Macaca mulatta: one gene and its partners. The protein of the gene in region 5 interacts with the protein of the main gene of each other region in a pairwise test. Links are inferred from orthologs where the notes say so. Each region holds a gene or a part of one and is shown on either strand. Other genes may lie near its edges. The genes, in order: ATXN1, RNF167, RNF111, CNOT4, UBE2E3, MUL1 and TRIM39.

Region 1 (3,280 bases), on a different chromosome or scaffold from region 5:
ACTTCAGTTCGCCATTCTCAGAGAGCATCTGGGCACTCCCCTGGTTGATTCCGTTTTCCTGCTCGGCATACCTGTGTCTGCTGCCCGCCAGGCCGTCGGCCTTTGAGTGCTTCAGCAGGACGCTGGCGGGATCCACGGGCTGGCCCTTTTTAACAGAGCCGTTCTTCAGGTTCTTGAGGGTAAGCGAGATGCACACATCCCCAACTGAGAGTTTGGAACACGGCAAATCAAAGAGCTGGCTGGTTCTCTCCGGACAGCAGGATGACCAGCCCTGTCCAAACACAAAAAAAGGATACTCTACCAAAACTTCAACGCTGACCTGTGGAAACAGGGAGAGACAGAGAGAGGAAGGGGACAAATGAAAACATTTTATTCTTGTTTGATTTTATGCGCACACACACGTATGAACTCACACATACACACATAGACACACACAGGCCGAATGGGGGAAAAATGACTCAGTTTGCAAACCTCCCTCTCCCCCAGTCACACCCTATAAATGAGGCTCTTCAGTTTGGGTTGTACCTGTACTTACCATAGACAGAAGCCAGTGAAAAGACCATCAATATTCAAAATATTCCACCAAGTGTTAGCTCTATAGCTGGTCTCTGTTAGAACCAGTCAATCAAACCCCAGCAATGACAGAACACCCACTTAGCTTTCAGCACCGAGCTAGGCTCTGCGGGTGGCTCAGAAGCCCAGCATGGTCTTAGATTTTATGAGCTCAATGGACAGCTGTTATTATCATACAGGACACGACTAAACAGGGATCAGAGTGAGACTGTAGGTGAGTTCCAAGAGGCAGGCATGATGTGTTTATCATTGAGTCCCCAGCCCCTGAAAGGATGCTTGGTGGCAGGGCACAGTGGCTCATGCCTGTAATCCCAGCACTTTGGGAGGCCAAGGTGGGTGGATCACTTGAGGTCAGGAGTTCAAGACCAGCCTGGCCAACATGGCGAAACCCTGTCTCCACTAAAAATAAAAAAAATTCGCCAGGTGTGGTGGCAGGCACCTGTAATCCCAGCTACTTGGGAGGCTGAGACACGAGAATTGCTTGAACCCAGGAGGCAGAGGTTGCAGTGAGCTGAAATCATGCCACTGGGCCATCTAGCTTGGGCCACAGAGTGAGACTCTGTCTCAAAAAAAAAAAAAAAAAAAAAAAAAGTCAATTTTCAATGTCCTTTCTAGATGTAGTAGACTAGGTAATTTGGACCAACCCTCCTTCTGAGGACAACTAAAAACTCTGAACAAAAATGTAAGCAAACAAATAAATTTAAAAACTCTGGACAAAATGTTTAAACTTTTTTTCTTATAGTACTGGACAGCAAATAAGATAGTAAAAAGGCCAGGTGCGGTGGCTCATGCCTGTAATTCCAGCACTTTGGGAGGCCAAGGCGCATGGATCATCTGAGGTCAGGAGTTTGAGACCAGCCTGGCTAACATGGCAAAATCCCGTCTCTACTAAAAATACAAAACTTAGCCAAGTGTAGTGGCAGGCGTCTAGAATCCCAGCTACTCAGAAAGGAGAATCGCTTGAACCCGGGGGACGGAAGTTGCAGTGAGCCAAGATTGCACCACTTTATTCTGAGACCAGCCTGGCCAGCATGGTGAAACCCTGTCTCTACTAAAAATACAAAAATTAGCCAGGTGTGGTGGCAGGTGCCTATAATCCCAGCTACTCGGGAGGCTGAGGAAGAAGACTTGCTTGAACCCAGGAGGCAGAGGCTGCAGTGAGCCGAGATCGCAGCACTCTACTCCAGCCTGGGAGATAGAGCGAAACTCCATCTCTCTGTCTCTCTCTCTCTCTCTCTGCCTCTCTCTCTGTCTCTCTCTGTCTCTCTCTGTCTCTCTCTCTCTCTCTCACACACACACACACACACACACACACACACACACAAAGTCCCTGGGTTGGATCAGGAAAGCATGATGGCCCAGGCAGTTGAAGCTGGTGTTAGGGGCCTGTTATCTCCTGAAGACACCTGAACATTCCAAAGTGGAGCAGTTGGGAAACCAACTGGACTTTTGATAATGTTAAGAGCATAGGGAAAAGGTAATGAAGTTCAGGGTACATCAAGGGAGGGTGCTCTCTGGTGAACCCCATTCTTTTCAGTTGTGACCCCAAAGCACTGTCCCTTAGAGGTGACAGTGAACCACAAGCCAACAGGCCTTTCAAGGTCTCAAGCTCAGATTTGACTCATCTGAGTTCCTAAAACTGGATTAAGGTCTTGAATTATTTTCACAATTTTGCAAATAAACGCATTCAATTTAAAAAGGGGAAGTTGGTGGTCATGAGGAGACCAGATAACATGTATAAACACTAATAAAATATCAGATCTTAAAAACAGATGCTCCAGGGCTTCTCATATAGAGTCATACATACAGACTTTACAATGACTATGCTTACAATATTCAAGAAGATTAAAGACAGCTTGAGAATTTTGATAGGAAACTAGGACCTGTTTTTAAAAGATCCATGAAGCCAGGCATGGTGGCTCACATCTGTAATCCCAGCACTTTGGGAGGCTGAGACGGGGATGATCACTTGAGGCCAGGAGTTTCAGATCAGTCTGGGCAACAAAGTGAGACCCTGTTTCTACAGAATTAAAAAAAAAAAAATAGCCTAGTGTGGTGATGCGCGCCTGTAGTCCCAACTACTCAGGAGGCTGAGGCAGGAAGATCTTGAGCCCAGGAGTTAGAGGCTGCAGTGAGCTATGATCGCAAGATGCACTCCAGCCTGGGCAACAGAGTGAGACCCTGTCTCTAAAAAAATTAATTAATTTTTAAAAAGATCTATGAGAATTATAGAATTAAAATATACACCCATTGAAATCAAGAATGCAATGAGTTTTCCAGTTGAATAGACGTGGATTAAGAAAGAATTCATGAAGTGGATTCTCTAATTAGAGCTTTAGAAGAGACTCCACAGAGTGAACATAGAGACAAAAAGATGGTTAATATGGAGGAGAGGGTAAGAGACAGATAAGATAAATTGAGAGGGTCTAAAAGACACACAATTTGAATCCTAGGAGGAAGAAGAGAGGGGAGGTAACAGGGCAGAAATAATATTTGAGGAGGTAATGGCTAAGAATTTTCCCACACTGAAGAAGGATAGTAAAACAGTTTCAAGAAGGCCTAGCTCAAACAGGAAAAATAAAAAGAAATCCTCACTGAGGCAGATGAGAAATAAATTGCTATAAATCAAAGACATCTTGCAAACTACACAGGAAAAAAATATCATTAAGTCTCTAGAACAGGCTGGGCATGGTGATTCATGCCTGTA
Region 2 (3,398 bases), on a different chromosome or scaffold from region 5:
TGCCGCTGTAGTACACAATGTGAATTCCAATGAACTTCTGAACATGGTGTGGAACAGTGGTAAGGCTGGAGGAATCTATACAGCTGGGCTTTCAGTAGGACCCAGAGATGGTGGGAAGGCTGAAGGCTTCAGGAAAAGAAGCCAATCCTTTAGGTGGGTTGGGGCGAAAGTGCCAGATGCCAGGGTTCCCAAAGGATTTGAGTAGAAGGTTGTGAGTCCCCAGAGTAACACCTTGATCCCTGCAGAGGAAATCCAGCAGCAGATCTGGATCCCATCTGTATTTATTGGGGAGAGAAGCTCCGAGTACCTGCGTGCCCTCTTTGTCTACGAAAAGGGGTAGGACATATGCCTCCTTCCCATTCTTCCTTCAGCAAGCAGTTCCATGCCAACCTGGAGCCCAGGCCTCATTACCCGAACCATTCAGCCTCCTGTCCTTCCTTCCCTGCCTCTTTGACTTTCTTCCCATTCCCATCCCCACCTATGGGCTTTGTCCAGAGCCAGTTGCTTTGTCCCTCTGTTTTTCTCCCTTTGCCTTTCTTTCCCTGCTGAGACTGGTCGTCCTTTCCCAGGGCTCGGGTGCTTCTGGTTCCAGACAATACCTTCCCCTTGGGCTATTACCTCATCCCTTTCACAGGGATTGTGGGACTGCTGGTTTTGGCCATGGGAGCAGTAATGGTGAGTAGCTGAGGGAACATGATGGGAAGCACTGAGGCCAGACTGGATCTGGAGTTGGGAGATGGGAGTGGCTTGTCCTAGATTGTCTAGTTTTATTCCTAAGCCTTGTCCATCCACCCCCTCTTCCACCAGATAGTTCGTTGTATCCAGCACCGGAAACGGCTCCAGCGGAATCGACTTACCAAAGAGCAACTGAAACAGATTCCTACACATGACTATCAGAAGGGTGAGGGGTTAGGGGAGGAGAGGGTTTTTCCCACCGTTTACCTGGTTCTGAAGGACTTTGAGCCCAGAAGATAGGGTATACAAAGATGGCAGTGGCTGGGCACAGTGGCTCACGTAATCCCAAGTGCCTGTAATCCCAGCACTTTGGAAGGCCGAGGTGGGTAGGTCGCTTGAGCCCAGGAGTTTGAGACCAGCCTGGGCAACATGATGAAACAAAAAAATCCCACCACTTTGGGAGGCTGAGGCAAGTGAATCCCTGGACCCCAGGAGTTCCAGGCCAGCCTGGGCAACGTGGTGAGACCCCATCTCTATAAAAAATAACAAAAATTAGCTGAGCATGGTGTTGTGCGCTTGTAGTCCCAGCTACTTGGGAGACTGAGAAAGGAGAATCACTTGAACCAGGAAGGCGGAGGTTGTAGGGGGCTGAGATTGCACCACTGTGCTCCAGCCTGGGCGACAGAGGGAGTCCCTTTCTCAAAAAAATAAAAGTAATAAAGATGGCAGTAAGAAATTTTCAGCTTGAGATGCTGTCTTGTCTTGTTTTTACCCATAAATACAGTGAAGATGGGAGAGATATAAAGCAAAGATGATTAAGTGAAATAATTGTGGGAAATAATAGAGGGACAGACTTTGCTTATGGGGCATGTGGAGAGAGCAGAAAAATGGGAGGAATGGGGGAGGATTCAGTTAGAGAAGGAAGAAAGTGGTACTGTGGGGCTGGGGCTTTAGGCCCTGGGGCCTCCAGTGCCCGTATAAGGCTATGGCAGAAGCCCTGCCCATTTCCGTCCCTTCCACTCCCTATCTCCACCCTCACACCTCCCCAAAAACCACTTCCCTTCTTACCTCTGCTTCTCTTTGCTTGTCCCTTTTAGCCCTAAATTCTTCCATGTTCTGCCCTGACCTTATCCTGCCTACCTGTCTTAGCTCTTCCACTGGCTTTGTAGGTGAGGGAAAATTTTCGCAAGGCTTTAAAAGCCTTAGCCCTGGGTCACGATGGCTCAGTGAAGGACTAGATTATTTTCTTTCTGTCCCAGGAGACCAGTATGATGTCTGTGCCATCTGCCTGGATGAATATGAAGATGGAGACAAGCTGCGGGTACTCCCCTGTGCTCATGGTGAGGCCCTCACTGCCTGCCCATGCCCCTCTGCCACTGGCAGCCACCAGGTGCTTCACCTTGTTCCTCTCTGCAGCCTACCACAGCCGCTGCGTGGACCCCTGGCTGACTCAGACCCGGAAGACCTGCCCCATTTGCAAGCAGCCTGTTCATCGTGGTCCTGGGGACGAAGAGCAAGAGGAAGAAGCTCAGGGGCAAGAGGAGGGTGAAGAAGGGGAGCCAAGGGACCACCCTGCTTCCGAAAGGACCCCACTTTTGGGTTCTAGCCCCACTCTTCCCACCTCATTTGGTTCCCTAGCCCCAGCTCCCCTTGTTTTTCCTGGGCCTTCAACAGACCCCCCACCCTCTCCTCCCTCTTCCCCCGTCATCCTGGTCTAATAACCCTCTACACGTACACTTCTGGTGACCTATTTGCACAGACCGTCTTCTTCCCTCCAGTCTTCTAAGTTGAGGGATAGGGGACATTCCATCCTAAGCTGCTCCCTTACCCACACCTATCCTTTTGAGGGGCATTGGGGTGGGGCTGGGGCAAGCAAAGGGACTGGGTCTTCACTTCTTGGGCTAATAAAATTGTTTTTTGTGGACTAAGGAAGGGTGAGATAATTTTTAGGTGAACTTAACCCTTTGGGGGAATCACCCCTTTAGCCATAAGGAGCAAGAGAATGCTGAGACACTAACCTATAGTCATGGGGACAGCCCCAGCAGGCATTTGCTATGACTCAGGGGGAGCCCCACCCACAAGGATGACTCAACTAGCCCTGCCTTGCCTGCAGGCCTGCACCCATTCTCTGGTCCAGATGGCTCTATTCCATTATCCACCAATTTAACCAGCACACTGAGGACTTAGGCCTGGAAATGCCACTGTGGAGGGGCAGGGCCACCTGGCCAGAAGCTCAAATTCTTGCACCTTGTAGTACCTCAACCTTCCTGCTCCCAAGCCATGATAAAGGAGGCAAGTCACAGTGCCTGTCCCCCATTCTGACACCCAAGCTCAAATCACACAGCACCTTGTTAGAATCTTTTTTATTCAGAAAAAAAAAAAAAAACCCAAAAAACAAAGTTTTCCAACCACACACAGGAGGGGTATGGGTAGGGGGAGGTGTCTGTCCATCCAGCCCTGGTCCCCAGCCCATGTGGTTTTGGCAGCAATAAGGGGTATGGGGTAATGGCCTAAAAAATAAAATGGTGTATGTGTATGGGGGAGGAAAGGGGTGCAAAGCTGTGGGGAGCGGTGAAGGGGAAGGGACAGACGAGGTCAGTACTGGGAGCGCCGAAGGTGGGAGGCCATTTCATAACATTTCTTGTTGATCAAACCACCGTGGACACCTTCTTTGCCCATCAGCAGGACTAGCGCTGGAGGAGGAGGAAAGAGAAAGGAGGCTA
Region 3 (4,241 bases), on a different chromosome or scaffold from region 5:
TGTAAAATGGGAATAATTTCTATTGGCTATAAATTGTGATACCTGGATCCAAATGAATAGTTTGCTGTTTCGTAAGTACATTTATATGTATAACAACAATACTTGTGCAATAAGAATATGTCTCTCCTTGCTTTTGAAAGGTTTATGGTCTTGATTAAGTGATAAAAGAACTGTACTTGAAATGCTATTATTTAAAAGTTTTGCTATCTTATTAATAAGATGTATTGAGAGGATACGTAAGGCCTGGTTTGGTAGTATGAACATGTATTTCCCGCTACTCGGGAGGCTGCTGAGGCAGGGGGATTGCTTGAACTCAGGAGTTCAAGGTTGCAGTGTGCTGTTATCACACCTGTGAATAATCCTTGTACTCCTGTCTGGACAACATAGTGAGAACCTGTCTCTTAAAAAAAAAAAAAAAAAAAAAAAGACCAGGCACGGTGGCTCACGCCTGTAATCCCAGCACTTGTGGGGAGGCCGAGGCGGGTGAATCACCAGAGGTCAGGAGTTCGAACCCACTCTGGCCAACCTGGCGAAACCCTGTCTCTACTAAAAATACAAAAATTAGCTGGGCGTGGTGGCAGGCGCCTGTAATCCCGTCTACTCAGGAGACTGAGGCAAGAGAATTGCTTGAACTCGGGAGACAGAGGTTGCAGTGAGCTGAGATCGCACCACTGCACTCTAGCCTGGGAGACAGAGCGAGTCTCTGTCTCAAAAGAAAAAAAAAAAGAGAGAGAGAGAGAGGTACAGGTAAGGCTACTTATGATTAATCATAAAGCAAATGGTCTACACTGTAAAGCAAAGCAACTGGTCTACACTGTAAAGCTATAGGAATGTAGTGAGTAAATGTTGGAACAAATCATAATACTACATCTGCAAGTGATACGTTGAATGTCTAGGAAACAATATCAAGACTTTTTGTTTTTTTAAACTGTTGGGAACACAAATAGAGGAAGGGAAAGGGTTTTTGGGAATGTAGACTATGTCATTCTTAAAATGATCAGCAACCTGTTTTGTTTAGATAAACAGTGAATTAAAGTGATGTGTTAAGAGTAGTTAAATAAATGGACTCATTCTGAAACAGAACTTCTTGTTTTGTAATATTTGTGAATATTGTCTTGTATAATGATTACACAAATATAACACTTTGAAACTAGAAAAAATGCTGTGAATTTGAGAAAGGATAGTTAACAATCATAAACATAGTGTATTCATTTTTTATGATTAAGAGCTACTGAGCTTTGTGCCTTCTCAAAGAGTAAAGCATTGATTTGAAAACAGTTCGAAAATTGGTTTAAAAATTTGTCTTGCAACTTTTAAAAATTAGATTTGTTGAAAGTTTCCTTTAAGTACATACAAACAAGGCATACTTTAAAAATATAGTTGAGTTGTGGTTACCTAACTTCTGCCCTTGCTGAATGAATCAAAAGCATTAAAAATTGAAAACTCTTCTGTAATGAAACTAGAGAATGGCTGTTGCTGTATATCAGACTTCCAAGAACATTTTCCAATAAAATGAAATTTGGATTGAAATCTAAGGAAACAAACTTTTTTTTTTTTTTTTTTTTACATGTCAAGTAGATGCACATCTCTAAGAGTAAGGAAGATGTGTATTCCTCAGAGGGATTTTTCAACAGTCACTTTGAAACATAAAGATGTAGAATGAAGAAATGCGAGGAACCATCTTATTAAGGACTTTACTTCCATATTTATTGGGAAACAAATATGCCTCCTTCATCTTAATGTAGCACAGGGATGATAACATGGGGTAGGGGGAGAGAGAGAGAGACAGTTTGGAAAAATGTTTACACCTATTATGACAGAGCTTCCATATATGCAAAGAATACTTATATAAGTCAATAAGAAAAAGGTGAATAATACAATAGGCTAAGCATGTAAATAGATAATTCTGAGAAGAAATGCAAGTGGTCAAGAAATAAAAGATTTTTCTCAGATTGGCATTTATTTTAAAAATTTAGTGGTAGTGAGCTGGGCGCAGTAGCTCACGCCTGTAATCCCAGCACTTTGGGAGGCCAAGGCGGGCGGATCACCTGAGGTCAGAAGTTTGAGACCAGCCTGACCAACATAGAGAAACGCCATCTCTACTAAAATACAAAAAAAAATTTGTATAGGGATGGTGGCGCATCCCTATAATTCCAGCTACTTGGAAGGCTGAGGAGAATCGCTTGAACCTGGGAGGCGGAGGTTGCACTGAGCCGAGATTGCACCATTGCACTCCAGCCTGGGCAACAAGAGTGAAACTCCATCTCAAAAAAAAAAATTTAGTGGTAGTGTGGGGGTAATCAGGCCTTCATGTGTACTCCTTTTTTTTTTTTTTTTTTTTTGAGATAGAATCTCACTCTGTTGCCCAGGCTGGGGTGCAGTGGCATATTCTCGGCTCACTGCAACCTCCACCTCCTAGGTTCAAGCAATTCTCCTGCCTCGGCCTCCTGAGTAGCTGGGATTACAGGTGTGCATCACCACGCTCAGCTAATTTTTGTATTTTTAGTAGAGACGGGCCTTCGCCATGTTGGCCAGGCTGGTCTTGAACTCCTGGCTTCAGGTGATTCTGCCCACCTTGGCTTCCCAAAATGCTGGGATTACAGGTGTGAGCCACCGTGCCCGGCCCTTCCTGTGTACTCTTGATGGAAATATTAATTATGGCAACCTTTTGGAAAGGGTATTTTATCAACTGGCATCTAAATTTATTTTTTTCTTTCTGTCCCACAACTACTTACAGCAATTTATGCTACAGAAATGATCTGTATGTATGTGTGTATACATGTATATAAATGAAAGAGTGAGTGCAGGAGGGACCACATACACAGATATTTATCATAGCATTTGGGTTTCTTTTTTATCAGTGGGGATTTTGTCAGTACATTTTGGTATATTCATATAATAGAATGTTGTGAAACTGTGAGTGAAGTTAAATTATAATATATATTTACATAAGATATCCAAGATTATTGTAAGAAGGGAGCAAGTTGCTTGAGCAGTTGCTTGAATACTTGATAAAGTATTCATAAAAATATCTACTAATATCTTTAAAAGTACAATAGGAATGTATAATAGCAATATATGTTCAACTGCATGGTGCCTGTGTAACATACTTGAAATATTTTTCTTGCAGATGCCTCTTTGACAAGGCCACTTCATCATCAAGCTTCTGCCTGCCCGCATTCTCATGGAAATCCCCCTCCTCAGACTCAGCCTCCACCTCAGGTGGATTATGTTATTCCTCATCCCGTACATGCTTTCCATTCTCAAATATCTTCTCATGCAACATCTCATCCTGTGGCACCCCCACCACCAACTCACTTAGCCAGTACAGCTGCACCAATCCCTCAGCATCTTCCTCCTACACACCAGCCAATATCGCACCATATTCCAGCCACCGCACCTCCAGCACAGCGACTGCATCCTCATGAAGTGATGCAGAGGATGGAAGTTCAAAGGAGGAGGATGATGCAGCATCCAACGTATGTTTTACATTTTTAAAAAGAAAGTCAAGCTTGCTTTTTCTTCTACTTCCATTGGTCTTTACAACTCTGAAATCTAACTAGGCATGGTGGCATGCACTTGTAGTCACAGCTGCTTGGGAGGCTGAGCCAGGAAGGTTGCTTGAGCCCAGGAGTTTGAGTCCATGTGGGCAACACAGTAAAATACTGTTTTTTGTTGTTGTTGTTTTCTTTTTTTTAAAAAAGAACAAACAACAACAACAACAACCAAAAAAAAAACACCACGAAGTCTTTAGAAATAATGTAACTTGTAACTGTAAGTTGGGTGAGGCTCATGCCTGTAATCCCCAGTTGCTCAGGAGGCTGAGGCAGGAGGATAATTTGAGCCCAGGAGGTCAAAGCTGAGCTGTGACTGTGTCACTGCACTCTAGCTTAGGTGATAGAGCAAGACCTTGTCTCCTTTAACAACAATAGAAAACAAAAGATAGGTGGCTGCAGTGACTCACACCTGTAATTCCAACACTTTGGGAGGGCAAGGCAGGAGGATCACATGAGCCCAGGAGTTTGAGACCAGCTTGGGCATAAGGAGACCTCGTCTCTACAAAAAAAAGAAAGTAGCTGGGCGTAGTGGCATACTACTGTGGTCTCAGCTACTCGGTAAGCTGAGATGAGAGGATCGCCTGAGCCCAGGGGGTCAAGGCTGGAGTGCAGTGGTGTGACCATAGTTCACTGTGTCCTTGAACTCCTGTGCTTAAATGATCCTCCCATGATCATGCCACTGCA
Region 4 (4,772 bases), on a different chromosome or scaffold from region 5:
CAGGAGAATCGCTTGAACCCGGGAGGCAGAGGTTGCAGTGAGCCCAGATCGCACCACTGCACTCCAGTCTGGGTAACAGAGTGAGACTTTGTCTCAAAAAAAAAAGAGAGAGAAAGAAAAGAAAATTTAATATTTTTCTCACACAAAACAACAAAAAGATAAATTTATTAAACTGAAGAATATAGATTCCTTTTAAAGCCAAGAGTAGAGTGGGGAAAAAAGGGAAGATTTCTAAATCCAAACTGCTTAAACTGATAAGATTTTTTTTATTCCTTTAGAGCACACAAAATCATTTTTAAAATAAAACTCCCTTAAAGCTAGGAGTTCATCCTCTGGCAACACCCTCTTTCTTTAACAAAGTAATGAGTTGCAAGTTATCGCTAGTACTCCCTTTTAGACTCAAGTTGAAGGGCAATACAAAAACAATTTTATTTTTCTGTACTTTGTTATTTGAGTATAACTGTCTCATCCTAATTTTATAATAGGCCAACTTTAAGCGATTCATATTCGAAACATTCTTACAGAAATAATCTATTGATCTCAAGAATTCAACTATTGAACCTGGTAGAAAGTATTCCAAATTATCAAAAGAAACCATGAAAGTATGAAGCTGTAGCGTTCATAACGTTAGATCAAAAAACTTAAACCACACAAAAATATTTAGAAATCTCAGCTCCCTATTTCTTATCAAAATACTAAAGAACTTTAGATGTCTTCTTTAAACGTACTAAAGATACAAAAGTAAATTCCTTTTGACTTCAGAGGGCCGAAATGAAGAATTCGGTAACTGCAAGCAAAAAGTATGAGGGGAGAAAATTACTTGAGAAAATATTTCGTGAGACAAACACCATTTAAATAAAAAAAAAAAAAAAAAAAGACGTATTAAAATCATTTACTCCCTTCTACCAGACAAACAGTCCTCTCCTAGAACTCAACTGCTTACAATTCAGCCAAGTATGATTGCCAAGAGTTTCTAAACCTGTGTTAGGATTGTTCAAAGTGGAAAGCTTCTCCACCAGTGTATTACAACAACAAAAAGTATATTTTTTAGAGTTAAAGATCAACTATTAAATACACTCCTCTGATAAACTAAATGTAAGCGATTTAAAAAAAAAAAACTCAAGTTGTAACTTAGGACAAAGTTTGCTATATAAATTGCTTGCAGTTCTAAGAGTATTTATTTGGTCCCCCAAATTGGGGCTTAAGTGGCTGAAAGAAAAAAGTTTTATAGACAGGTTTTCTAACCTTAGTTTACATTTGGTAAAACAGACCATTTATCACAATCAAGTGAACATAATGCCAAATGTTAAGATTCCAAATTTTACAGGTAAAATGTGTAAAAATTACAATAACCCACTAATGGACTGCCACATGAGACTGTCACTGATGTTCAACATTTTTACATATATCTTAAGAATGCAATGTCATATATGTCATGTTCAAACTTGGGATGTATGTATTTGCACTATGTAATCCTGGTTGCTTTTCTGGTAATTCTTTATCTCACAGTGGTCTGATTATAGCCAGGGCTGCTTCTTCCCATTATACCATTAGTCAGTATATCTTAATTTTGCTTTCACCAAAACATGGACATCATAAGCCACCTCTTGCTTCTAGTTTTCTGCTTTTTACTGTAGATAACAATGACAGTGAGTTCTACCAAATGCATGTATGTGCACAGCTTTGTCATTCTTTTCCCAGCCCCCTTCTTTTCTATGAGAAAAATACGAGAAACAGGTTTATATAAAAACATCGATTTTTCTTTTGCATACATACCTAATGGATTTTCAAGAGAAGACAATTTATTCAGATAACTATCATCCTAGAAATGTCAAGAGAACTTCCCAAATCCAAAAATAAGAAGTAAATCTGATAATAACTGGAAAGGAAATTTCCACTCAAATCATAAATAAAATGTCATCAATTAAGCTGAACATCAATAAAACTCAGTCAAAAATCAAGTCTCAATACAGAACCCACATATAACCCACATATAATCAAAATATCACTTATATTTGCTAGCGGAGTTCACAGATGAATTCTGTATGTGCGCCAAATTTATCTTATTTTGAATTGCTGGGGTTAATATTAGTATAAATCAGAGCCCACACGAAGTGTCCTGGGCAGAGACAATCCAAAGAACGCTTAGTAGCATGGTAAAAACCGGTCCAAAATGAAAAAAAAAGAAAAGAAAAAAGCCACGTCCTAACACAACAGAGCGAATAAGCGACAAATAGATCACTGAAAGCAAAACGAAAACGGTCCCCTCCGGAGTAGACTGAATAAAAGATCTTTACTCATAACGTTTAATACTATCCGACCTCACTTCATTCACTTCCCAACTTCCTTTACTTTTCAAGGGCCACCACGGGGCATCCCTTTTTCTGGAAGTGTATATGGAAAGGATCTGTACAGGAAAGAGGGAAGGAACGGACAATTCTCAAGAAGGCTAAGAAACAGGTGGGTTAGCAGGAGCAGAAGCATAATCTAGACACTTAAGGGGCAGCTTTAAGATGACAGATGTGGTGGAAGGAAAGACTGCAAATCGGAAGAAGCCCTAGTGTGGCAGATACACTGTGGGCTGAATGCAAGCACCAAAGGGGGGCAAAGGCTAACTCCAGAGTGGTAGCAGTGGAGCAAAAAACAAGCAGCAGGACGGGTGGGCAATGAGCAGTGGGATTAACGAGCAGCAGCAGCAACACGGGTCAGAGTGGAAGTGATGGCTTTGGTCTTGGGAGACGGGGGCCAGTGGGAAAGGACGTCAGACAGGGAATAGGGGGTTGGGGAAACAAGGAGGACTGAGACCTAAGAATCCTGCCCCTATGAAAATGCAGGGGGCAAAGCTGGAGACCAAAAGCCGCCTCGGCTCCCCAGTTAAAGAAATTCTCGAAGGAGAGTCGCTGCTTGCCGCCGCGCTGCCTTCTGACCCGCTCGCTTTTCCTGATAACTGCTGTGGCGTAAAGAGGAGAGGGAGGAAGAGGAGGAGGAGGAAGAAGACCAAGGAGGAGGAGGGTGAAGATGAGGCGGGGGGTGGGGAGAAAGGGGGGTGCGGCCTGTACAGTCCCAGCGAAGCCTCCGCTCTCTCGTAGCCGGTCAGCCCCGGGTTTCCCCTAAGCCCAGCCCCGCATAGACTCACCCGCCTGCCTTGCCTCGCTTTTCCCTCAGCCGACTCCACGCGCTGCCGCGTCCTCACAAGAAACCACCGAACGAGCGTCGGGGAAAAAACTCTTCAGAACCGGGCCTGATTGCTTCAGTGAGTCCGACCTTTACGGCTGAGAGAGAGACTCTCAGCTTTCGGTGGGTTCCACAGCCAGACGGGCCACCATCTTACATTAGGGTAAGACTCCTCCGGCCTCCCGTGCGCAGGCGCACGCCGATCCGGCCAGGAGGGGCGGGGGAGGGGCGGGAGGAGCGGCGGGCGGCTGAGTGGGAGGTTGCGGTGGCCGCTCCCGCAGCACCCTGGGAGTTGGAGTCCTCGGAGGGTAACCGCCCAGGGGCACGCCGGGAGTTGAAGTCCTCTCTCAGAGGGCGGAGGAGATCGCCCACCTCACGTGGCTGCTGGACTGAGCCTTTCTTCGTGTTTTGCTTCCTTCTCTGCGCGCGTGTGCTACTTCAATGTCATTTGGTCGGCGGTTTTCACTAGTCATTCTGTGTCCTCGGTGTTTTTGGAAATGTGCGACCCCAAGACTGGGGCGAGGCTAGACAATTTTTCTGGGAGCCCGGAATGTTTCTTCTCTGCCCCGCCCACCAGGGATATCTAAAGGGGGCGGGGTGGAGGTGGAGGCAGGTTGGGGTACGAAGAGCGCGGGATTTGATCTAGGGTAAGAATTTGATACAGACTTGGCGTCTGTTTGCGAAACAAGGAGGAAACAGACGCCCGTTTAATTCATTTCCCTGTCCTTGCGCATTTGGGGGCCACCACCCTTGATACCTTCTTCACTGTAAAATCGCCGGTGAAGAAATATACTAAATTGTTCTGTGCAGATTACCCAAGAGAACGGAAGACCCGTGCACTTACAATAACGTGCTTCGGTTGATGTGAATTTGAGAATTTGCAGACCTCTGTGCGAATTAGTGTTAGTTCGCTGTCCTGCCAGCACAGCTGTGTGCAAGTTGACAAACTCTACACACATCGGCACATCCCCAAGAACAATGAATGCAGCCACAATCTCTACGAGCACTGAAGAATCATCAGTCACAAACGTCAGTCAATGTACTGGTCGCTCCCGTTTGCATCCCAGAACTCTGGTGAAAGCGGCGCTCGAAGCAGTAATTTTTGCTTATTGCATGTATTCTTCACCCACTCATACAGCAAATACTCAATGAGCTCCTCCTGGCCGCCGGGTACTCTTCTATATATTGAGAACACAATGGTGAGCAAAATAGAAAAAATTCCCTGTCCCCATCCTAGTGATATGTTGGGATGAGGAAGAGGAGAGAGGAGGCATTTTTTAAAAAATACGTGATTAAAATGCATAGTATGTCATAACCGATTTTAAAAACTTAGGAAAGGGGAGTAGGGAAAGAGGTTGCAGTTTTAAATTTATGAACTCAATGTCATAAGAAGAAGCCCTCATTTCTTTTTTCCTTTTTTTTTTTTTTTTTTTTTTTTTTGAGACGGAGTTTCTCTCTATCTCCCAGGCTAGAGTGCAATCTAGGCTCACTGCGCTCACTGCAAGATCCGCCTTCCAGGTTCACGCCATTCTCCTGCCTCAGCCTCCCAAGTAGTGGGACTACAGGCGCCCGCCACCACGCCTGGCTAATTTTTTGTG
Region 5 (4,241 bases):
TTTGGGCATCAAAATAATTAAAGGCAGTAATGACTTACAAAGCATTGGGAAAAAAATGAGACCATACCAATAATACTTACTTCTGTACATACGTACAGGCAGTAGAAAGGGCTCAAGGGGTAACTGTTAAGTGTAGAGAAAGTTCTAGAATTGGAAAATCATGATTTTATTACTGTAACAGAATACCTGAGACTGAGTAGGTTATAAGGAAAAGAGGTTTATTTGGTTCACCTGATGGGCATCTGCATCTGGTGAGGGCCTCAGGCTGCTTCAGCTTGCAGTGGAAAGGCAACCATCAAATGCAAAGAGATCACAAAGCAAGAGAGGAAGGAAGAAAGAGAAACCAAGGAAAGCCACTGTTTTTAACAGTGAGTTCTCTTGGGAACTAGTTCATTTTTGCTAGAGTGAGGACTCACCCCTGAGGGAGGGCATTAATTTATTCATGAGGGATCTACCCCTGTGACCCAGACACTTCCCAACATTGCCACATTTGGGGGTCAAATTTCAACATGAGTTTTAGCAGGGACAGATCAAACTATAGCGATCACAAATGGATGCTTAATATTGGGAAGAAATTTTGATGAGAAGCAGGATATTTGCCTGGTCTTAAAGTGTCTGTCCAAAGATTGCTTATTGGTTGCAGGGAAAAAATGGTAACTAAACAGTAGGAAAATTGGATAGCACTATGTCTGGATGATGAAACTTAACATCACCAATGAGGTACAGCTAGATGTTGTGTGCCTCCAAATGTGATACCATGAGAAGGACACATCACATACTATTTGAGCCAGAAATGCATTACATGAGTCAAATCATGAGGAAACATGGAAAGCTCAAAATGATGAGCATTTTTAAAAAAAGAAGACTAGATTCTGCAAAAAATGTTAATGTTACAAAAGTTAAAGGCAGAAAGGACCCATATTAAAGGAGAATAAAGACACAGGAAATACATGGTTCCAAGACTGGGTCCTGCATCCGGAGAAAAATTAATTTTTTAAAAGGATATTACAGAATCAGTTGACAACATTATAATACAAATTGCAGTTTAAAGAATTGTATTCATGTATTTACTGAAATTGTAACTGTATTGTGATTTATAGGAGATTATTTTTAGGAAATGCACGCTGAAGTGTTTATGGGGAAAAGGCCATAAAGTGTGCAACTTTCAAATGACTGAGAAAAAAGCGTGTCTGTATGCATGCTTGCAGGTTTAGAGGGGTGTGTGTTACGGGGAGAGAGAGGAGCAAATGGGGCAGAGCAGAATGCTAATGGAGACTGGGTAAAGTTATACCGATTTTCTTTGTACTTTTCTTGCATTTCCTCTGTAAGTTTGTAATATTTCCAAATAAGTTCTTACACACATGCACATGCAAACACATTGGGGCTTATTTCTTTTATACTTATTTCACTTCTTACTGCTCTAGATTGCTAATTTACCTTTAACACTTCCCTGGTTTTAGGATATTAACATGAATTGCTAATATATGTACATACTGATTTTTAATTTCTTTTAAATAGTGCTGGGCCTAAAGGAGATAACATTTATGAATGGAGATCAACTATACTTGGTCCACCGGGTTCTGTATATGAAGGTGGTGTGTTTTTTCTGGATATCACATTTTCATCAGATTATCCATTTAAGCCACCAAAGGTAAGAAGCTAGAAGTGCATTCTTTAATATTTAATCCTCCTTCTCTAAATTTAACTGGGGTTATTCTAAAACTTAAATGTGTATTGATGCAATTATTTTTATTTCATTGCTTTTCATGGATTGATATGGAAAATTTCATGTAATCAAGAATTTTAAAACTGGAAGTAATTGACTCCTTTCACAAATAATTTGTAATAAGCAGAAAGTTTAATTCTTAATTGTAAATAAAACTATACCTTGCACCTCAGTAAAGCAGATAAATTGTATGCTTATGAGGGAAAATATCCTATGAACCTTCATTAATACCTTAATTAATAATACCTTAATTAACTATTAAGGTATTAATGAAGATATTAGGATAAAAAGTAAAACTGACAGCTTCCAGAAATAAGTGTTTAATAATGTGAATTTTGTGCTGAATACCTTATCTTTATAGATAAGCAAAAACTTCATAGCCAAGAAGAGGGAAATGAATAATATTTAGTAAACTCATTTTGTACCTTCTGTGGGTATGATGTAGTAATGGAAACAGAATGCCTCAGTTTTGTTGGCTCTGAGTTCATTTGAAGTATGAATTAGATGGATAACAGAGAACGGGGTGAGTTGTGCCTTGTAATGACCGTCAACTTTGCAAAGCTTAAACATAACAGTTACTTGAATGGCTCCCACCCGTAACTTCTGTTTCTACGATGGTCAAGTCAGCAGGTAAAAACCATTGGAATTAAGTATGAGCATTATTATGCTTTTGTTACAGAGATGTCTGACATACTAGAGGAAAGTATATTTTCAAGTCCATAGCCCTTAACTATGGTGAAATGTTTTTCTTTCCAACATGGTAACTTTTGTTCTCTATACTTTATAAAGTTTATGTTGCAATGTATACCATTTAAAATTTATGTAGCCTGTGTGTATGTGTGTATGTGCACATAAACAGATTTATTTTGTGAATAAAAGAGGGTTATTTCTCAGTAATGAATCATCTAACAAGGTAGCAAGAGTTCCATCTAGTGGTATTTACCCCAAACCGCAGACACCGTTTACTCTCAGTTACAGCTGTTAGTGTTTAAAGTGCTTTAACCGTGTGGTCCCATCAGAATGTAAGATCTTGAAATTATTTTTGCATATGGGGAAGATTAATTGAAGAAAAAGACTCAAGTTTTTCTGACACCTTTTAATGGAAAATGGCAATTGACTAATATAAGAATTTCACAGTATATAGTACTGTATATGATTTGCCAATAATTTTGATTAATATAATGATTATAAATTTAGCATGTTAGTTTTTTGCTGAAATTGCAATATATTAAATTTCTAATTCTTTGGTGTTAGTTCGCTCTGTTGCTAAGATATACAGTATTAACCATTATTAAGATCTGTAGTTGGACAAGTGAAAAATGATTTCTGGTGTGATCTTGGTATTTGGAACAATTATTTCTCTACAATGCTAAATCTTTTTGAAGTTTGGAAAAAATGTTGAGCTTCTTGAAGGATAATAAATATTTAATAGAAATCCGTTCATGAATGCTACTCTGTTCAGTAGTTATAACTGAAAATATATTTGTAAATCACATGTGTATTGAGTAGTAATGTCAGTGATCTGAACATAAATTATTTCTATATTCTAGAACAGCATTAATGGAAATATAGTAAAATCTACATGTATAATTTTAAATGTCCTACTAGCCACATAAAACGTAAAAACCAGAATTTTAATACTATATTAGTTAACCCAACATATTCAGAATATTGTCATTTCAACATGTAATCATTGTAAGAGTATTGTTAATGAAATCTTATACATTTTCTTTTTGGTACTAACTCTTTGAAATCTGGTATTTATTTTACAACACTTTTAGTTTGTTTCAATTCACTTTGCCACAATTTAAGAGCTGTATATGCACATCTAGTATATGCTGTATTGGTCAGAGCAGTTCTGGAAGGGCATTCTCTCTTCCTCCCCCACTAAACTAGTGTGGTGCTCCCCCACCCCCTCCCCATCATGCATTCTTTTCAGAAAGACACTTTTGAGAGCATTTAATATTTTTTTCCCAGATTCCACTTTTGTGCCCACAGTGCACTGCTAGTTTCAAATGATCAGAAATTTTTTTTTTTTCTCAGCAACTCCAATTATGAATTAACTATCCAATTAGTGTTTGTGATTGTTTTGAGACTTGGCAGTGTTTGTTCTTATGATTTATCTTCTTCTCTCACACATTTCAGGGATATATTAGTTTCCTTTGTCCAGTAGCTAAAAACCTTGTTTATTTTAATATTTTAGTCTAACAAGACAGTGAACCAGCTGTAGAAATAAAAGGCTAAGAAACAGAAAGGTGGTAGTGTAAATGATTTTACCAACCTTCTTCTAAATCCTCCAGTATTTTCTAACGTTTGGTAGGAAATTAGCTGAATTGATACTGATCTTTTCTACTAAGAAACTGATGTAACTTTTATGTTTTAAAAAAAATCTTCATCAGTTCCTCTTACCTTTGGCACCAAAATATTTCTCTTCCTCACTTTGTCTTTCTGTATGTGTGTGTGCACACACAGTTGTATATGATGCAAACACACGTACCCACACACGTAGATAGAA
Region 6 (3,972 bases), on a different chromosome or scaffold from region 5:
AGCTACTTGGGAGGTGAGGCAGGAGAATCACTTGAACCCGGGGGGCGGTTGCAGTGAGCCAAGATTGTGCCACTGCACTCCAGCCTGGGTGACAGAGTGAGACTCCGTTTCAAATAGAGTCTTGAGTCTGTCACCCAGGTAGCTGTAGTATGGTGGTGTGATCATAGCTCACTGCAGCCTCAAACTCCTGAGCTCAAGTGATTCTCCTGCCTCAGCCTCCCAAGTACCTGGGACTACAGGCACATGCCCTGCTAACTTTAATTTTTTGTAAAGATGGAATCTCACTGTGTTGACCAGGCTGGTCTCAAACTCGTGGCCCCAAGTGATCCTTCTGCCTTGGCTTCCCAAAGTGTTGGGATTATAGTTGTGAACTACTGTGCCAGACCAGAAAACACATTTTAAACTATCTGAAAGGAGAGGGCAGAAAAATTCTTTAGAAATAATAGAATTTGTGTCCACTTAGGAGCTGTACGGTCTGTTAAAGAAACTCTTAACAGCCAGTTTGTGGAAAACTGCAAGGGGGTAATTCAGCGCCTGACACTTCAGGAGCACAAGATGGTGTGGAATCGAACCACCCACCTTTGGTATGTATCACTTCTCCACTGGCCAAAACCCTTATAGTTGGTCTATTCAAATGCCGGGGTCCTGGGTGCTGTTGCGTTGTCTTCAGCTTCTCCTGAGAGAGGTTGAAGACCAGTCTCTTAATGCAGGTCATATTCTTGTGTGTAGCCTGTGGGCCTCCTACATCAGAATCACCTAGGCATCTTGTTGAAATGCAGATTTCTGGGCTCCCTTCCAGACTTATCCAACCAGAATTTCCAGGATCAGGCACCTGGAATCTGTTGTTAGTTACACTGAAGTTTGAGAACCACTGAATCAGTGATTTCAGTATTTCCTAAAATGCTTTTGTGCCATCTCATGAAATACCAGTTTTCCAGCTGGTCCTAGTGGGTTCTGTTTTAGATGTTTGTTTTACAGTGGAAAGGGAAATGAATGGTTTCCGTAGTCTGTGGCGGTGTTTGTTGCCCACTGAGATCGCCCCAGGACCTAAAAATGGAGCCTCCTTGTTAGGAGGCACCTGTAGATAGTGATCTTACTGTCTTGTTCTGGTTACTTCAGACTCTATGCTGTCTTCTGCATTTAGTTGATCTCCAGCTCTGCCTGGGTGTTTGCTGTTTGCTACCCTGTATCTTTAGTTCTCTTATTCTTCTAGGAATGATTGCTCAAAGATCATTCATCAGAGGACCAACACAGTGCCCTTTGACCTGGTGCCCCACGAGGATGGTGTGGATGTGGCCGTGCGAGTGCTGAAGCCCCTGGACTCAGTGGATCTGGGCCTAGAGACTGTGTATGAGAAGTTCCACCCCTCGATTCAGTCCTTCACCGATGTCATCGGCCACTACATCAGCGGTGAGCGGCCCAAAGGCATCCAGGAGACCGAGGAGATGCTGAAGGTGGGGGCCACCCTCACGGGGGTTGGCGAACTGGTCCTGGACAACAACTCTGTCCGCCTGCAGCCGCCCAAACAAGGCATGCAGTACTATCTAAGCAGCCAGGACTTCGACAGCCTGCTGCAGAGGCAAGAGTCGAGCGTCAGGCTCTGGAAGGTGTTGGCGCTGGTTTTTGGCTTTGCCACATGTGCCACCCTCTTCTTCATCCTCCGGAAGCAGTATCTGCAGCGGCAGGAGCGTCTGCGCCTCAAGCAGATGCAGGAGGAGTTCCAGGAGCATGAGGCCCAGCTGCTGAGCCGGGCCAAGCCCGAGGACAGGGAGAGTCTGAAGAGCGCCTGTGTCGTGTGTCTGAGCAGCTTCAAGTCCTGCGTCTTTCTGGAGTGTGGGCACGTTTGTTCCTGCACCGAGTGCTACCGCGCCTTGCCAGAGCCCAAGAAGTGCCCTATCTGCAGACAGGCGATCACCCGGGTGATCCCCCTGTACAACAGCTAATGGTTTGGAAGCTGCACAGCTTGGCATGGTAGCTCCCCTGCCCCCTTTTCAGGGATTTTTATCTGAAGGCCTTTGAAGGAGCAGTGGCGGGGGTAGCTGTCACCTCCAGGTATGATTGAGGGACCCACGCCTCCAGTGGCAAGATGCTGCCTTTCCCGCCTGAATGGGGACCCTGTCCACGTGGGGCCTGAGAATCAGAGCCTTGCCCTGGGAGGCTGCCGTGGCGTCTCCTCCCAGGAGCCAGATCCGTGCGAGTGTGACTGAAAACGCCTCATCGCTTAGGCACCAAAGTCAGTGATCAGCAGCCCTTCTGTTCCTGTGTCTTCTGTTTTTTTTCTGGTGAATTGTTGCTTGCTGTGGACTTGGTGGAGGACTCAGTCAGAGGGGAGGAAAGGCTGGGCCCTGAGTACAACGGATGCCTTGGATGCTGCCTCCAAAGAGGTTCTGCCGCAGCTTTTCTTCTTTTTCCTCATGCCCCGGGAAATAGTCTTTCTTCAGAATTGTCAGGCTGGGCGGGTCAACTTGTGTTCCTTTTCCCTCACCGGCTTGCCTCTTAAACGCCTGCACATGTGTGTAGAGGACAAAAGAAAGTGAAGTCAGCACATCTGCTTCTGCCCAAATGGTTGGGGCCCTGGGCAACAGATTGGAGAGAGATCGCGTGAAGGGCAGTTGGTCAGGCAGCCCTCCTGGTTTCGCCGCTGGCCCTGATTTGAAGTGCTACCACTTGGGAAAGCTCAGGGGTGGTCCTGGTTTTCCCTCCTGGAGAATGAGGCGCAGAGGCTTCGCCTCCCGAAGGACACAGTGTGGATGCCGCTGGCCTAGTGTCCTGGCCTCACAGCTTCCTTGCAAGGCTGTCACAAGGAAAAGCAGCCGGCTGGCACCCTGAGCATACGGCCTTTCAGGGCTCCCTCATCCAGCCTGTCGCAGTGTTGACATCTTGGTGTACTCATGTTGCTTCTCCTTTTGTTACCCCCTCCCTGTATTACCATTTGCCCCTCACCTGTCCTTGGTGAGCCTTTGAGTGCAAGACCAATGGGGCTGTCTTCCCCCGCCTCTGAGCAGTCGGAGGTCACATACACAGCTTTTTTTTATAGCCCTTTTCTGCCTTTGAATATTCATATCTCGTCCTCCTTTGTGCAGGTGAGGAAGGGGTGCCGTCAGGGGCCGACACTAGTACGATGCAGTGTCCAGTGTGAACAGCACAAATTAAACATGTTGCAACCAAGTGCTAGCCTGTTGCTTGTTAAAAAGAGTTAAATGGCTAAGCCTAAGCGTTCTCAGGATGGGATTGAATCCCCGCTGCAGTGGAGAGAAAGGTGGGGAGTTTGAGGCCTCTGTGTCCTGTTCCTTGGCTGTAGTGGTTTGGGCCTCCCCCAGATGGTGTGATGCGGAGGCAGGGATGCCTGCCCCCAGGGAGGAATCTGGACAGCCCGCCCGCAGGTTATAGCTGGACTTGCTGACCGTCTTTGAAGTCTGTCCCAACAGGCTACAAACCAGGGCAGTGAGATTTCACCTGCTGGGAGAATGGGATGGAGATGGGGCACTGGGGGACAGCAGAGAGGACATGAGCATTTAGCAATACCGCTGTGCAGGAGGTCCTGTGCTGCGTGCTGTTTCACACTTATTTCAGAGTGAGTGCATCCTCACAAACCCCTGCAGGCCGAGTCCTGGTGTGTCTGCTGTATGGGAGAGGAAGGAGGCCTGGAGAGGGTGCGTTCACTGGGCTGAGGGCACAGATATAGCAAGTCACGGGTCTGAATTTAAACCCCAAGCTGTTTCTAAAGTCCTCATCTTCCTGCTCACTAAATGTGCGGCCAGTAAATTCCTCAGTGCTAACAGGAACACTCAAAAGAGACGTGTTCCCCAAGTCCATAGAGGCGAACTGGTGGCCACACTAGAGCAGCAGGTGAAAGTTGGGGTAAGAATCCACTTGCCAATATTGAGTCCGTCCAGTGAAGTACGAAGACCCTGGTTTTACACAAGGTGCTGGAGGGCGGGGCAGGGTGAAAGGCCCCTGACGGGAATGGCC
Region 7 (5,000 bases), on a different chromosome or scaffold from region 5:
ATCCACCCGCCTCGGCCTCCCAAAGTGCTAGGATTACAGGCGTGAGCCACCGCGCCCAGCCTTCATTTAGTATTGTCTAATGATGTTTTCATACTCCAAGAAGAAAGTTCAGTATGGACCACAAAGCCAAAAAGATGTCCTCTCTGGCTCTACAGCAAAGATTTGCCAAGCCCTGTTATATGTCATACTATTTGCGCTTCATAATTTTATAGTTTTACCTAGGCAGTCTCCATTTTTTCCTTCCATATTCAGCGTAAAATCCCCGTTTTTTTTTTTTTTTTGGAGACGGAGTCTCGCTCTGTCGCCCAGGCTGGAGTGCAGTGGCCGGATCTCAGCTCACTGCAAGCTCCGCCTTCCGGGTTTACGCCATTCTCCTGCCTCAGCCTCCCGAGTAGCTGGGACTACAGGCGCCCGCCACCTCGCCCGGCTAGTTTTTTTGTATTTTTTAGTAGAGACGGGGTTTCACTGTGTTAGCCAGGATGGTCTCGATCTCCTGACCTCGTGATCCGCCCGTCTCGGCCTCCCAAAGTGCTGGGATTACAGGCTTGAGCCACCGCGCCCGGCCCGTAAAATCCCCTTAATATCAGTCTCTAGGAAAGCTCATTCTTCATAATCCTTAGAATTGGACCTCCTCTTGTTAATTTCCTTAGTCTAATCACAATCCTCCTGGTTATTTACAAACCGAACGCCAGAAAGGAGGGTTATCAACATCTTATGCGCCACAAATTAACAAATCAAAACCAAATCTCACTCTCCCTCCGAAGCCAAGGCTAAGGAGGCTCACCGCCCAGTTAGTGGCTTTCAAACTACCCTTACAAGTGAGGCATCTTGTGAATTAGAACAACTGCTGCTGCTAAAATCCCTAATGGCTACATAGCAATGTGAAAAAAAGGTATCAAATGTAATTTTCTCAAATTTAATCCTCTTCAATTGTTGGCACAAAAAAAGGAATAATAAAGGTAGACAACTGTAATTAGCATGTGTGATCCCAAATCTTTATACCTTAGATACTGGATATTTTCTACAAGTAAATAGTTTCTGGCTCCCAAGATGAGAGGTTAAATAATGCAGGGTGTTTGTAAACAGCAGCACAACTTACACCGGAAATTAGGGCACTTTCTCACCAAGGAGAGTACATCAAAATTTGCTCATCTCTTTCAATCAATGTTCTCCAGGACTAGTGCTGGGGGCGGGGAGGCGGAGCAAGCTATCTTTTCTACCAGCCGTGTCACACCCCTCCTAGCACTAACCCCTCCTCCTCAGCCTCTTCACACCTCTACCCACTACTAACCCCTCCCCAGCCCCATCACCGCTTCCCGGGCCCCTGACACCTCTCCCAGCATACTCTTCCTGGCCTCATCACCTCACCCACTTCCTCCAAAATCACAGGACCTGCTAAGCTTCCAGCAGCAAGCGAGCAAAGCAGGGAGGCTGTAATGTAAAAGTCCGCAGTCCCTACACAAACACTATCTGCTCCTGCGGAGAAACTCAAGTCACAGCCCCAGAAGAAAGAACAGGCCTGGGCTCTCACCCAGTTAACCAGCGTTTATCCAGCGCACGTGTTGCGGTCGGACCCCATGCGAAGGAGCTAAGGACACAAAGGTGAGCAGCAGAGTCGCGGTTCCAGCTCTCTCCCGGCTCCCACTCCAGCGGGGTAGGTAGATAATTTCGGTAAACTTCGCCAAGCAGGGGCAGGACAAAGAGTATTTGAAGTCTACCCGGGGGAGAACTTACCTAATCCTTGAATGTTAAAAGGCTAAAACTCCACCAGTCGGAAGTGACGTGCCAGCTGAGCCCCGCAGGTCCGCCACGTAATTGGCCGCCGCCACAGCTAGCCACCCTCTCCCCGGACTGGCCCGAAGAGAGGAAAAGTGTGGAAGTCCACAAGCCGCCCTCGCCCCGCCCTCTTCGTCGACTTTCAGCTGCACTGGGGAGCGGCGGCGCCTGGCCAGAGCCGGGGCCTGGAGCCTGGACGGGACAGCCTCGCCGGCCGGGGCGCCCGTCCAGCGCCCTGCGGGCCATGGGCTTCAGCGCTCGAGCACGCGCATGCGCGGGCCTCTATCTCCAGAGGATTCCTCGGGTCACCTGGACGCCAGCATCTCAGCCACCTGCCCCTCTGGGTCCCTTCTTGTCCTTGATTCCTCCTGCTGGTTCTCATCGCCAGCCCTCCTCCACCTCCTCCTTCCGCAGCCACCGCTAGACCCGGCCGCTGCTGCCTGCCGACACCCCAGCTTCCACTGACACGAGCCTCGGCGCGGCTTCCGCTTCCGGCGAGTATTGTGTGTCGCGCCGCGGGGCGGGGGCGAGGGGAGGAGGAAGGAGGGAGGCAGCGCTCCGGCGGCTCCGCGCCCCGCACTCCCGGACCCGAAGCCGGGAAGGTAGGTGCTGTCCCGCCGCCGCGCCCGAGTCTGGGGCCTGCCCCCGCCGGCCGGCTCCGCAAGTCGCGTCCCAGCGCCCCGCGACTGCGTCACCGGCCCCCCGCACGTAACCACAGCTGCCTCCGCCCGCCTCGGGCCCGGGCGGACGTTTTGCCGCCCCGGCGACGTCAGCGCGTCCGGCGTTGCTTGGCTACCCCGCCGTTCCCCCGTCCCGCTGCTGCTCACCTCCCCGGGTGAAACTCTGACGCAGTCACCGCGGGTCTCGGCTGCGTCATAGCGGCGGGCATCCCACCTTCACGTCACACCTCTTCCTCACCTGGACACGCATCCCTCCCTACCCTGCCAGCAACGACGTTTCCTCTTTCCCCTCTCCAATCCCCCTGCCCCAGATCTGGCGGAAGAAAATGGAGACGGGGGTGGGACAGAGTTGTGGACAACCTCTCAGGACAGGGTCGCAAGGTGGGACCCTGAACAGTGGTTTAAACAAAATGAGATCGTCCCTGAAGTTTGCCCTTCAGCTGAGACACAAGGAGTAGAGGGAGACGAAGGACTAACCCAGAGGCACTCAAGGTCTCACTATGACTGTAGTTTAGAGTCCTCTCCATTCTTCCCGAACCCTTTCCCCATTTCTTTCACCACTTCTTTGCCAGTCTAGATCTGTCCTGGTGCCTTACTGTGCATACAGTTCTACTCATCTCAGGTGAGGAGGCCACCTAATTTGTAAAAGACTGAGGAAGGGGTAGGGTCACCACAAGTCAAAGTTGGATTTCCACAGGTAGAGAGAAATCATCTGATTGAACTTCTCTCCTATTGCTGACAGAAAAAATTCAAGTCCAAAGAAGTTATCAGCTCCTACTCCAAACACATTTGTGTGTGCCAACAATATATACAGGAACAATTGTTGTTAACCTACCTCATTACATGGCCACTTATCTCTCAGCACATAGATTTACCAAATTTCCTTCCTTCCAGTAGGTCCCTAGAGAAGGATGGGGGTCAGGAGGAGAAAGGGTTATGGGGATAGATACATCAACTTACCCATGGCTAAAAGTATCGACGTTTTAAGATGGAGTGGGGGACCAGCGTTGTGTTTTATAAATCTCTCTTATGCATTTCCAATTCTTCTGAGGCTGCACTTGAGGGAGATCTCATTGCCTCTTTTCTGTCTCTTAATTCCCAACCACTCCAGAACCTGTTAGTTGGAGACACAGTATGCCCAGGATGTTAGTTATCAATAGTTATATTGAAGGATTCCAGTCACTATAAATAGACTTGTTTCTTTACAAGAAGTTGTTGGCCTGAGCTCAGTAATGTACTATTTAATATAGTTGCCATAATTTATCAGTTTTCAGCAGTTCTGAGTGTCCAAATGAACACAATAGAAATGGAATGTTGCATGAAATATGTTATTCCAAGAAGAGAGCAGACTTCCTTTAGGCTAGTCTGATGGATAAAAGGAAGAATAATTTCAGATTTTCCTGGAAAGAGAAGGTTGCCTTTGCTTCATTCATTCCATTTGTTAGCCTTTAGAACACTGGTATCTAACCTTTTGAATGGGAGGACTCTTTTTACTTATCTGTGGTGGCTGATAAAACAAAAATTATGCATGGACCTTTTGTGGTGGCTGATAGAACAAAAGTTATGCATGGACTTCTTTTTTTTTTAGCTTATCAGCTGTCATTAGTGTCAATGTATTTTATGTCTGGCCCAAGATACTTTTTTTTCCAATGGGCCCAGGGAAGCCAAAAGATTGGATACTGTGGTTTAGAAGAATGAGAGAACAGTGTCAGAGAATCAAGCTTAGACTCCAGTGGATTCATCATAAAGCCCTTATAACATTAAACTTTAAAATATGCTTAATTTAAGAAATGTTAATATTTTTATGACATTTTTTACTTCTCAGATTCCTTTCTTATCTATTAGAAACGTATGTCAAACGAGGATACAGTGGTCTGGAACTATTGGTTCTAAGATACAAGTGGAATGAACCTGGATCAGGAGAAGTATGCTGAGCTAGAGTTGAAGGAAGCTGCTCTTTCTAACAAGAGAAAGCAGAGGTAAGAGACAAGATAGATAAATTGGGGGTTGTGTGTCAGTTTACTAACAAGAAAAAAAGGTTAATGGCTGGGAGTCACAAGTTTTGGAAATGGAGAAACAAAGAGATTGAATTGATTGAAAGAGAAGATGGAGAATAACAAGATTGGGCAAATCTGGAGTTAGGACTTAACAGGGATAAATGTTGGGCCAGGGATGCAAAAAAAAAAAAAAAAAAAAAAAACACCTCCAATTAATATTTTTATTTTTTCTGTCCTCTTCCCCACTCCCAAGTTAAATTATGGCAGAGACAAGTCTGTTAGAGGCTGGGGCCTCTGCAGCCTCTACAGCTGCGGCTTTGGAGAACTTACAGGTGGAGGCAAGCTGCTCTGTGTGCCTGGAGTATCTGAAGGAACCTGTCATCATTGAGTGTGGGCACAACTTCTGCAAAGCTTGCATCACCCGCTGGTGGGAAGACCTAGAGAGGGACTTCCCTTGTCCTGTCTGTCGAAAGACATCCCGCTACCGCAGTCTCCGACCTAATCGGCAACTAGGCAGTATGGTGGAAATTGCCAAGCAGCTCCAGGC

What was found.
Region 1: the proteins of UBE2E3 (region 5) and ATXN1 interact in binary tests that used the Homo sapiens proteins (3 or more experiments, as listed by UniProt). The link is inferred for Macaca mulatta from reciprocal best matches to the Homo sapiens genes UBE2E3 and ATXN1.
Region 2: the proteins of UBE2E3 (region 5) and RNF167 interact in a two-hybrid assay, tested with the Homo sapiens proteins (2 studies listed by BioGRID and IntAct). The link is inferred for Macaca mulatta from reciprocal best matches to the Homo sapiens genes UBE2E3 and RNF167.
Region 3: the proteins of UBE2E3 (region 5) and RNF111 interact in a two-hybrid assay, tested with the Homo sapiens proteins (2 studies listed by BioGRID and IntAct). The link is inferred for Macaca mulatta from reciprocal best matches to the Homo sapiens genes UBE2E3 and RNF111.
Region 4: the proteins of UBE2E3 (region 5) and CNOT4 interact in a two-hybrid assay, tested with the Homo sapiens proteins (3 studies listed by BioGRID and IntAct). The link is inferred for Macaca mulatta from reciprocal best matches to the Homo sapiens genes UBE2E3 and CNOT4.
Region 6: the proteins of UBE2E3 (region 5) and MUL1 interact in a two-hybrid assay, tested with the Homo sapiens proteins (2 studies listed by BioGRID and IntAct). The link is inferred for Macaca mulatta from reciprocal best matches to the Homo sapiens genes UBE2E3 and MUL1.
Region 7: the proteins of UBE2E3 (region 5) and TRIM39 interact in binary tests that used the Homo sapiens proteins (3 or more experiments, as listed by UniProt). The link is inferred for Macaca mulatta from reciprocal best matches to the Homo sapiens genes UBE2E3 and TRIM39.

Annotation. Positions count from the first base shown.
Region 1 is NC_133409.1:166,774,668-166,777,947, reverse strand, and holds part of ATXN1 (ataxin-1), read right to left. Parts: intron 320-3,280; coding exon 1-319. UniProt on the Homo sapiens protein: Chromatin-binding factor that repress Notch signaling in the absence of Notch intracellular domain by acting as a CBF1 corepressor. Binds to the HEY promoter and might assist, along with NCOR2, RBPJ-mediated repression. Binds RNA in vitro.
Region 2 is NC_133421.1:6,494,520-6,497,917, forward strand, and holds the end of RNF167 (E3 ubiquitin-protein ligase RNF167), read left to right. Parts: coding exon 1-59; intron 60-245; coding exon 246-336; intron 337-569; coding exon 570-675; intron 676-807; coding exon 808-901; intron 902-1,772; coding exon of another isoform or gene 1,773-1,844; intron 1,845-1,934; coding exon 1,935-2,015; intron 2,016-2,091; coding exon 2,092-2,393; 3' UTR 2,394-2,603; downstream 2,604-3,398.
Region 3 is NC_133412.1:36,396,573-36,400,813, forward strand, and holds part of RNF111 (E3 ubiquitin-protein ligase Arkadia), read left to right. Parts: intron 1-3,130; coding exon 3,131-3,479; intron 3,480-4,241. UniProt on the Homo sapiens protein: E3 ubiquitin-protein ligase. Required for mesoderm patterning during embryonic development. Acts as an enhancer of the transcriptional responses of the SMAD2/SMAD3 effectors, which are activated downstream of BMP.
Region 4 is NC_133408.1:175,335,515-175,340,286, forward strand, and holds the start of CNOT4 (CCR4-NOT transcription complex subunit 4), read right to left. Parts: upstream 3,351-4,772; 5' UTR 3,137-3,350; intron 2,408-3,136; 5' UTR 2,322-2,407; intron 1-2,321. UniProt on the Homo sapiens protein: Has E3 ubiquitin ligase activity, promoting ubiquitination and degradation of target proteins. Involved in activation of the JAK/STAT pathway. Catalyzes ubiquitination of methylated RBM15.
Region 5 is NC_133417.1:85,943,718-85,947,958, forward strand, and holds part of UBE2E3 (ubiquitin-conjugating enzyme E2 E3), read left to right. Parts: intron 1-1,518; coding exon 1,519-1,651; intron 1,652-4,241. UniProt on the Homo sapiens protein: Accepts ubiquitin from the E1 complex and catalyzes its covalent attachment to other proteins. In vitro catalyzes 'Lys-11'- and 'Lys-48'-, as well as 'Lys-63'-linked polyubiquitination.
Region 6 is NC_133406.1:220,470,256-220,474,227, forward strand, and holds the end of MUL1 (mitochondrial ubiquitin ligase activator of NFKB 1), read left to right. Parts: intron 1-463; coding exon 464-584; intron 585-1,213; coding exon 1,214-1,943; 3' UTR 1,944-3,165; downstream 3,166-3,972. UniProt on the Homo sapiens protein: Exhibits weak E3 ubiquitin-protein ligase activity. E3 ubiquitin ligases accept ubiquitin from an E2 ubiquitin-conjugating enzyme in the form of a thioester and then directly transfer the ubiquitin to targeted substrates.
Region 7 is NC_133409.1:152,701,197-152,706,196, reverse strand, and holds the start of TRIM39 (E3 ubiquitin-protein ligase TRIM39), read left to right. Parts: upstream 1-1,795; 5' UTR 1,796-2,378; exon of another isoform or gene 2,379-2,948; intron 2,949-3,033; exon of another isoform or gene 3,034-3,078; intron 3,079-4,281; exon of another isoform or gene 4,282-4,301; 5' UTR 4,302-4,435; intron 4,436-4,706; 5' UTR 4,707-4,713; coding exon 4,714-5,000.